Cricetulus griseus: one gene and its partners. The protein of the gene in region 3 interacts with the protein of the main gene of each other region in a pairwise test. Links are inferred from orthologs where the notes say so. Each region holds a gene or a part of one and is shown on either strand. Other genes may lie near its edges.

Region 1 (3,018 bases), on a different chromosome or scaffold from region 3:
CATGCTCCAGGAGCATCCACCTCCTGACCTTGCCTGTCCCTTTACTGTGGCTTTGGCTATCTGCACCTTAGTACCTCCTGGCTCCCAACTGCTGCTTCTCCTTCCAGGCTCCTCGGAACCCTGGCTGGGTCAGAGGCATTCTGGGCTCTGTAACCCCTTGAGTGCACATGAGCTGTACACTATCTGCCCACCTGCCTCTGAGTCTCCCAGAACCAGGCCTCACCATGCTGCCTCCAACTCCCCCCGTGGCCCAGCATCACCCAGCCGGGGCCTTGGGGAGTCTGCAAGGCGAGAGCAAAGACAGCCCTAGGGGCGTCAGTGACGGGAGCCGGGAATCGTTAAAAGGAACTTTATTGGGTGTTGGGTTCAGATGAGGTCCATGAGGATGTCGTCCTCCATGACGCTGGGCTGCAGGCCCGGCTGGGGGACCGGGCCCCGGGGACCCCCGCTCAGCAGCATCTGACCTGGGGGGCAGTGGGAAGGGACTGCATCTCCCAGTGGTCCCTGGGACCATTGAGGACCCTGGACCTCTCATCCCCTCTTCTGGGAACCCAAGGCAGTCAGGTTTCTAGGAAGCTCCAGGGACCACCAGAGCCAGGGATCCTTCTAAGCCCAATTAGATGCAGACATTTTCCTTTGACCCTTTGGGAGCCCTTCCCCCGACAGCATCACTGACCCTAAGGTATCTTCCAGCATCCCAGGGCAGCATATAAGGATTATGGAAAGCTCTCACTCACTGAGGCATTGTTCCCATGGCTAAACTTCCCAATGGCCCTCTAAGCCCCCTAGAGCTATGGGGAGGCCCTTTGGTAATGGGGTCCTTGCCAGTGGCTGCAAGGACTCCCAGTCTAGACCTCTACCCTCCCCTAGAACACCCTTACCTGGCAGTGGAGCCCGCTGGGGAAGCTGTGTGGGCCAAGACTGGGCAGGTGGAGGGTGGAGGAGTTGTGGCCCCAGCTGGGGCTGCCCCAGGCTCTGATGTGGTGGAGGCAGCAGTGCAGGGGCCCCTGGAGGCTGCAGGTGGTGGAGGGAGGCCTGGGGTGGGGGTACCCCAGTCTGGGGCTGGGGAAGACAAAGAATGGCTCAGAGGGCCCAGTCTGTGCTCCAGAAAGGCCCTGCTGGTACAGCCCACCCCTTCCTCCCAGAGATACTGGGTAAGAACCTGCAATTCCCTGTTGCTCTATTCCCATGCCTCACCGGTGGTGGGTTAAGGAGGAGGCTCCGCAACTGGGGGTTGGCCCCAGGGTTCTGGGGCCGAAGGATAGGTCCAGAAGGTGGTGGGCCGGGGGCTGTTCCTGGAGGACCCTGGGGTGCTCCTGTGGGGGCCTGGGTAGTACCTTGTGGCTGGGGCTGCCCTGTAGCCACAGAGGCCCCCACAGCACCCTGAGGCTGGGGCTGTGGTGCACGGAGCTGGAGCTGGAGAACAGACAGCGTGAGCAAGGACAAGCAGTAGGGAACTGCCCTAGCTCCACCCAACCTCCATCCCCAATCCCACCAGTCCCCACCCAAGTCCTCACTAGGTTCTGCGGGGGCCTCGCTTGGTCCTCCAGAATGGGGCCCAGGCCTGGAAGTGCCTGCTGTGCCCCCATCTGCACGGGGACAGAGAGGACAGATCAGTGGTGAGGGAAGGCTGTCTGAACCTGTTGGAGGACCTGGTGTGTAGGAGGAAGGTGCCTTTCTTTGGGGACATACCATCTAGTAGGTGCATCACACCCTGCCTGACCAATAAGGAAGGCCTGTATCAGGGACTGCCGTGGAAACTGAGAAGGGACTAAAGCTGCTCTGCTAGGACACAAGGGGCACATTGGACTCAGACAGGCGGCTTATGGCTGACTGGGCTCTGGGGAGCTATGAGAGGACACTGGCTTGCCACTACCACTCACCCCTCGCTGCTGCTCCAGCTTCTGCTGCTGGACCTGCTTGTGGTTGGTGATGACCTGGCGGATGCCATTGACAAAGCCACTCTGGTCGTAGGGGATGAGGCCCATGAAGATCTTTTTCTTAGATGAGTACAGGAGCATGAGCACACGCACCTCGCATGGGGCTGTATGCGGGAAGTGCACGCAGCCCGCCTGTGGACAGAGACTCTTCAGAAGCAGCCTACCCGAGAGGCATGGGCTAGCCTACCTCAGCCTATAAAATTCTACAAGCCTTATAGGCAAGAGGTAGGGAGGTCTCACTGTACAAGGCCAGGGAGGCCAGGTTGGCGCAGCAGCTGCCCTGGAAACAAAAAATTGTGAGTGACAGGCACTCAAAGGGCACAGCAAGACCAAAGTCCCTGCTGACCACCGAGGAGACAGCAGGTCACACCAGAAGCCCATGGTGACCCTGACTGAGTGGCTCTACCTCATGTCTCCCACTATATAGCACTGGGTTATCTCATCAAATCACACTGGACAGGGCTCCACTGGGGAGGGTGGCAGGAAGTCAGGGTCAGACCCTTGAAGGTGGCTCTATCTCTGCCAGGGCCTCCAGCATGGACCAGAGAATGGCAACATCACAAGGATGCCATTTTGGGATTCAGAGTCTCCATGGGCTCTCAGGGAACTAACTGGCTTTGGCTACCTGGGTTTACTTCTCAGGACTTGCAGCTAGTGCATCAACACACCCCTCTCCTTAACCCAGTCCAGCACAGAACAGGCAGTGCCACCCAGGCCAGATACTGGAGTGTCCTCCCCTACAGGGGTGCAGCCTAGGAACCCAGCCAGGCCCAGATAAAAGGAGGCCTGGTCAGAAGTTGTGAACATTTCTCGCTTCCTGAAGTCATTGCCTCTTCCAAATGTTTAAAGGGACTCAAAAGCTAAGGTAACCATCTTGAGCCTGTGAGAGGCCTAGGCATTGAGGTCACTGAGCTCTCCTTCTGTATCCTGGCCTGCAGCAAAAACAGGCCATTTGTTGGAACATTCCCTCAGAATTCAGTGTTTTCACTGAGGAGGACAGCAGATGAGCCACACCACAGAGGGTTCTTGGCCCAGCTGACCTTCCTGACAACAGCCCCAGCAGACCCACAGACACGAG
Region 2 (3,752 bases), about 140 Mb from region 3:
AAGATGTAACAATTCTGCAAAACAACAGCATCTCTATGTTTCAGCATACACACTGTACTTCTAAGTCAAACAGCAAAAAACCAGCCAGTCAATTTCTCCTGTGCATAAATAAATGTGTCTTCAAAACTTACATCTTTAACATATGGTTAAAGAAAATGAATGACTTGTACAAACTGCTCTGTTCTGTTTACCATTTTAACATTCACTCCTTTTGGGAGTGACTTTAAAAGCTTCTATTTAGCATGAAAACAATCCACTTAGTGTTAAGACTTTTAATCCCAGCACTTGGGAGGCAGAGGCAGGTGTTTTTTTTTTGAGGTCAAGGCCAGCCTGGTCTACAGAGTGAGTTCCAGGACAGCCAGGACTTTTACACAGAAACCTTGTCTCAAAAAGAACAAAAAACAAACAAAAACTATTAACATAATAGTGAATTTCCTTAGAAAATGTGGCAAAAGAATACAAAGCAGAATACAAATGCATAAAAACAGAGGTTGTGGTATTTCTAAGTGTCCAAATTTCCGGTTTATATTTCACTTTACTTAAAGAACTGCAAATAAGCTGTAAGGATTATCATATCCCTAAATTATGCCTCTTAAGTCAGGAACTGTTACCATCAGAAGTTGGAGATGGCCAGTCATAAAAAAACTGTTGTGTATACTGTGCATATAAAATGATTGCATTTTATTTTTATTACTTTACTATTATTTTTAAGACAGGGAGGGAATTGGAATTCACTATGTAGTCCACACTGGATTTGAATTCACAATTCTCCTGCGTTGGACTCTTGATAAGCATCTACCAACTATTTTAATATTTTAGCAGGATAAAAGGTCATAAATTCAGAGATTACAAATATTTAATATTGTGTGTGTTGCTGATAATTGAGCCCAGGACCACGCTTCTGACACATCAGAAACAAGCATGCACTAGAGACCGGGGGTTCAGGCCAAGCACAGAGCTCTTGTCTAACCCTGCACCATTTTACCACAGGGCCACACACCAAACCCTACATTTTAAACACCGCCCAATCATATAATATTGTCAGACTTCTACAAGCCAAATTATCTGATTGACTCTTCAACAACAGCTATGTGGCCTGTGCAAGTGATTTCTATTTCGTTTGTTAAGGGGAGATAAATTAAGTCTCAGATTTGGGTTGCTGAGTAAGCTTTTTGACAAAGTTAGTTCTACTTTCCCTTCACTCTGCCACCTCCTTAGTAGTGGCTACAACTGCATGTGACACTATCAGGAATATGTAGTACCATATGGAGATTCAGAAAAGTCTATTAGAAGAGAGGTAAACATAACATAGAAAGTTATCTATAACATAGCACCCCCCCCCACCATGGGCTAACAAAAAACCAAAACCGTATTCACCTTTCATCACCGGCTGTCTCATTCCATTAGTTTCTTGCTTACACTCAAATCTTTAGAGCTCTATTCTCGACAACAGAAAAAAAAACTAGTAAAAATGTGTAATAAAATATCCTCACTAGGTTACACGCCAAGGGGAGAGGAGACAAAATGGTAATCATCAATACATTTAATGAGAGTCAGAGGCTTACAGATAAAAAAATTAGAAGGGGGGAGGGAGTGGGCGGATGTACTGAGGAGGGTGGAAAAAACCCGTAGGATGTTACAGGTTCACCTTGCAAACTTCATTACCCACATTCAACAGCTGTTAAATAAGTCATCAAAACACTCAGATCTGTGGGAAGAGAATTTACACATTCCTGACAGGCTCATCGCCTCTGCTTCAAGAAACGAAATCGCTCAACTCCTCAACACAGCTGTTGCGAGCCTCGGTCGGGATCAGACCCGATCCTCCGGGAACGGAGAGCCAAGGCACAAAGTTGGGTGACTGGCCATCGGCAGGGCGAGGGGCCACGGGTGAGGACACCCCGTCCCCGCCCTCCACGCAGGCGGCAGCCGCCGGGGTGGGTCGGGGGGTCCCCGCCAGTCACCCGGCCCTGCTGCCCTGGCCCCGGGTCCGCCCACCGCGCAGGGCCAGCGCCACGACCGCGCCCGCCGCCCCCGCCGGCCCCTCGCCGGCTGCCACGTAACCCTTCGCGGGAAGCAGGAACTGCGCGGCGCGGGAGGGGGCGGCGGGCCGAGCCGGGGCCGCAGGGCCGCGGGGGGCTGCGCAGCGCCGGCCGGCTCTTCTGGGGTCGCCTGCCTCGGCCGGGGATCGGGGGGGAGCCGAGAACCGGGACGGAGGAGGGCTCACCTCGAACATGAGCCCCAGCAGGAAGAGCATCGCCAGGCAGGAGACGATGTCCGCGTGATTCTGCAGCACGAATTCATGGCTCAGCAGCGGCGGGTTCTTGTTGCTCTTCTTGCGAATCGCCATGGTGGAGCCTCCGCCGCCTGTGCCTGCAGGTGCTCCCTCCGCCCGGTCCCGCGCTCTGGGCTGCTCACCGCCGCGCTGCCGCTGCCGCCGCCGCCTCCCGCTGGCTGCTCCGCACAGCCCCGCCGCAGCCGCTCGCTGGGGCTTCACTTCCCATCCCACAGCCAGTACGCAGCCGCCGGGCGGCCCCGAAAAAAAAAAAAAAAAAAAAAAAAAAAAAGAGAGAGAGGGGAAAAAAAAAAAAAAAAAAAGAGCCCGCAACCGAGGCGAGCATGCGCACAGGGGAGGGACCGCGCGCTCGCGCCCTGGCCGCGCCTGGCGTCTCACAGCGCCCCCTGTGGGCTGGAGGCCGCAGGACACGGCTGGCGCACCGAGGCTTCGCGCCGGGCCGGGAGTTGGGAGTCGTTTGGGGCGCGAGCTCCCTGGGAATGGTGCCTGTGGTCGCGTGCTTCAGAGTGTGCACGGCTGCCCGGTGCCTTCGCGCCTTCCTGGCCCGTCCTGGCCTTGGTGCTACCGCGTTCTTCCACACTGATGGGCAGTTGTGTAAGCGACAGTCACCGTCCAGAAAATCTGGAAAAAAGAAGTAGCCTGCCTATTTAAAGGGGTTTTCGATAGTTTGAGCATCTGACTTCAAACGTTGCAGCGGCCGAGCCAGGGATTGTGGCTGACTCCAGTAATCCCTTGGTTTGGGAGGCTGAGGCAGAAGTGCTGTGAATTTAATACCATCCAGGGCTACATAGCAACAGATTGTTTCGCAGTTAAAAAAAAAAAAAAAAAAAAAAAAAAAAAAAGGACTGGGTTTAAATTCTTGCTTGCCTCAGTTCTTTTGTAATTTTTCCTCCAGACTCCCCCTCTCCACTGGGATTACTTGTTACATCGTATTATCGCTATTTAGGAAATTGTGAAAGAAGATCCCTTGCCACACCTCTTTCCTACTTGTGCTGAGCCCGGGATCTTTATTTTTCCTGAAAGGTTGCACTACTTGCCCAATCTAGAAGCCCAAATCAGCGTATGTCACATCTTTTTATTATCTTTCGATATCCATTCCAGCACCAAACCAAAGCAATTCAGCCTCCCATCCCCATTGCCACTCTCCTAAATCCCAGAAGGGGACCTACCCGGGAATATTAAATCTCTGGAGTAATCATGGTGGTTTTAAAAGGTGGTTATTGAATAATGCTCAACTTATTATCTGCATTTTTAGACAAGTTACTTCTGTGAGACCCAATTTCCTTATTTATGCATCTCTTTACTCAAAAAGTATGGAATGGGAGTCCCCCCAGTACCAGGAACTCAAGGAAAATTTCAAATTAACCTATTCTTTTGGGTTTTCGTTCTTGTGCAGAGGGAGGATCTTTAAAAAAGAATTTGAAAGTGAAACATGTTAAATGGAGCTGAAGTTCCA
Region 3 (3,188 bases):
AAGTTCATGGAACCCACCATTCCAAATAGAACAGACCAAGAGAAGCCTAGCCATTCCCCTGGGCTGTTGGCTAACACATCTCATATCTATGGAGTTCAGATTGTAGGTAATGAAGTCAGGGAAGGAACCAAACTTGCGTTTTGTTTCAGAAAAGGAAACAATCCTTAGTTTCACTAGAGAGGCCCACACCCTGGGGACTGTAGATGCTGTGACTAGGGTAAGCCTTTCTTTTTATCCCCTTGGTCAAAGGACTCTCATGGCCCAAATCTGGTCTTACTCTCTGGTTTATGACGTTTAGGTACATGAGCTGTGGGGAGGCATGGGGTTTTCTTCCCAGGGCCACACCAACTGCTGTTGGGATGAGTTCTGAATAGTCAAGGACACTCTAGTCTGAGCAACTCCTCAGCAGCTTGAGTCATGGGTGCTCCAAGACCTTGCCCCCATGACTCCCCCAAGCTCCTGGAAGAATTGCAGGAACACAGGTATCTACTGTTGCCTCTTCCAATCAGGCCCAAACCTAAAATAAAGAGACAACCAGCTATCGGATCCCAGGGCAGCCCCACTGTGTATCACTGTAAAGGACAGCCCTGGGAAACTGCTACCTGTGGCAGGTGTTTCAAAACATTTCTCCCCTACTTTCTTTCTTGATCAGACTCCTTCTGAGACACAATCATTGTACATTTATTATTTGTTCTTCACCCAAGAATAAAACTAAGTAAAACAAAAGGTATCGCCAGGGTGTAGGTTAAATGTAGCTGCCCCTTGGTGACTCTACATGGGGACAATTCAGGGCAATTCACATGGAGGGGAGACAGGGAGAGTGCCCTCTACTGATGAATGCTAGACTCACCAGAACAGGTACCAAGTTGCCTTTACTGCATGTCCCAGGGGCATAAGGCCATTATAAAATGAAAATCAAATAAAATCCCAACACCCTATAGCCCTCACATTAGGGTGTTAACTGAAACTGACTTACTGGTTCCCACCAGTCATGGGAAGTAAGAATTATCTAGAGCCCATAACCTGTGTACAGTGCTCAACAGTTGATGCTTTAGAAGCCTGAAGGTGCAGTATATTAAATTGACAGGGTCTTGACAATGGGGAGGGGGACAGTCTTCCTTCCCTGCATGCATCCTGTATTCCTATAGGGGCTCAAGATTTCCCTTTAATAAAATCAAATGTTGCTATAGGAATACAAGAGGGTACGTGTAGATTAAGGAACCCAAGAGAGAGCTTTCTCCAAGGCTTCAATTAAAGGAGCCACTTCCAAGTCTTTGCTGAGGCTTGCTCTTGGAGCCATTACAAAGTGCTTATCAGAGGTGAAATGTTGACTCTCTAGGCTTGGGTCTCAACTAGTAGCTTCAATGCAGCTATCTCCATTTGGTCAAGGAACCCTCAGACTTAGTGATGTAGCAAAGGGGGAAAGAGAGCTGTTACCAAGAATTAGCCCTGGAATCCCGTTTGGCTGTTCCCAACAGAAGACACGCCACTAAGAACTGAGCAAGCAAATGAATGGCCACTCCTACTAGAAAGCCACTGGTGGTGGATGCATGCCAGAGTGTACGCAGGAGACAGGATTCTGCTAAAGTGATACATGACATGGGCAAGATGCTGCAGGGATTCTCAGAGCCTTGGGGGAGCCCGGGAGCTCTCAGATCGTGTTGGGGAAACTCTCTGCTTCTGGGGGGATGTAGTATGTTTGTAAGGAATGTGATGAAGTGGAGCTGGTGGTGGTCAGCTGGCTCTGGCTGGGCTCCTCTGGGGAGACTCCCATGCGACTGGCTGGAGCATGCAGGCGGTGAGCATCCAGCATCTCCAGCAGCAGGTCATAGAGGGGTACAACGTTCTTGCATTTCATGTTGTAGAGATGCTCCATGCCTTTGTTGCTGGGGGAGAAGGGATGCAGAGAGAAGCAGGTTAGGTCACAGCTGAACTCCAGGATGCCTAAAATTCCTAGGAGGGTGAGGTAAGAGAAACTCCAAAGCCACTTGTGAACCAGTCTTTCCACCCATTAGGGAAAAATCTTTTGGAGGCATCTGGAGATGCCGAGGGGCTTCAGAGGCTCGGGCTGGGACTCATGCTCGTGTATTTTCATTTTCTCCATCCTATAAGGGGGCACCCCAACCATACTCTTTCTCCAGCTTCTTTTGGAGAATTTTCTATGCATTTTCCTCTCTATGATAGTTAATGTTGAATGTCAGCGTGACAAGCTCTAGGTATCTGTGGATGTCTACGAGGTCATTTCTAGCTTGCCTTGATTGAGATCAGAAGACCCACCCTAACTTTAGAAGCTTCATTCTATGGGCTGGGGTCCTGGCCTACACTTTCCAATGGCCTCTGATAATATTCAGAATAAAATCAAATTTTCTATCCAGGCTTTCTGTAGACCAAATGACCTGCCTTCATCTCCCTTGCAGAGAATACCCTGTCTGTCATCCTGAACTGACTAACTCTCTGTCATTGGTCTTTGAGTTGCTCCTTAATGGAATTAAGACACACATAGACCATAGAATCCAGACATTCTGTTCCCTTTTCCTGGATGCACTTCCATGGGATCCTCAAAGGCCTCTTGTAAGCAAGAGACCTTGGTTTCCCTGTGGCAATGGTCCAGCCTCTATCTTGCAGGCTTTTCCTTCCATATTACACCATCTTCTACCGGAGCTCAGAACAGCAGCAGTAAATGCTGCTCACAAGGAACAGTGGAGAAAATAGGAAGACAGAGATGTAGGCAAATGACTTTTCTCTTTCCTCTTGTGCCTCTTTGCTCTCTCAGGCAGGTAAGCAGTGGAAGTGGGAAACCCTAGCTCTTTCATGGCTTGAACTTTTATAAGAGGTATGTACCTGGGTGTGATGGAGAACACCTGTAATCCTAGCACTTTGGAGTGGGGGAGGGTAAACTTGCAAACTCAAGGCCATCCTACATTATATGGTATTTTCCAGCCTAGCTTCAACTCTATAATGAGAATATTTTTCAAAAAAAACTAGAATAAATAGACACAGCAATGTATATTGTGTATATCATGAACGAACAGGCAGAACTAAGAGAATGTCCTTATTATACTTCTATTGGTGGTAGTAACAAGCCAGCCCAGGTTTGAGCAGTGCCACAAAACACAGGAGAACCAATAAGAACTGAGACCCAACCTCAATTGCATGTCTAAGTATTACTTTGTTTATGTTTTGCCTTT

The links.
Region 1: the proteins of Esr1 (region 3) and Med25 interact in a two-hybrid assay, tested with the Homo sapiens proteins (2 studies listed by BioGRID). The link is inferred for Cricetulus griseus from reciprocal best matches to the Homo sapiens genes ESR1 and MED25.
Region 2: the proteins of Esr1 (region 3) and Tram1 interact in a two-hybrid assay, tested with the Homo sapiens proteins (2 studies listed by BioGRID). The link is inferred for Cricetulus griseus from reciprocal best matches to the Homo sapiens genes ESR1 and TRAM1.

Annotation. Positions count from the first base shown.
Region 1 is NC_048599.1:153,715,567-153,718,584, forward strand, and holds part of Med25 (mediator of RNA polymerase II transcription subunit 25), read right to left. Parts: intron 2,073-3,018; coding exon 1,884-2,072; intron 1,590-1,883; coding exon 1,518-1,589; intron 1,417-1,517; coding exon 1,198-1,416; intron 1,063-1,197; coding exon 882-1,062; intron 465-881; coding exon of another isoform or gene 367-464; exon of another isoform or gene 335-366; intron 1-334. UniProt on the Homo sapiens protein: Component of the Mediator complex, a coactivator involved in the regulated transcription of nearly all RNA polymerase II-dependent genes.
Region 2 is NC_048595.1:147,041,533-147,045,284, reverse strand, and holds the start of Tram1 (translocating chain-associated membrane protein 1), read right to left. Parts: upstream 2,518-3,752; 5' UTR 2,351-2,517; coding exon 2,228-2,350; intron 1-2,227. UniProt on the Homo sapiens protein: Involved in the translocation of nascent protein chains into or through the endoplasmic reticulum (ER) membrane by facilitating the proper chain positioning at the SEC61 channel.
Region 3 is NC_048595.1:282,651,387-282,654,574, reverse strand, and holds part of Esr1 (estrogen receptor), read right to left. Parts: intron 1,887-3,188; coding exon 1,652-1,886; 3' UTR 1-1,651.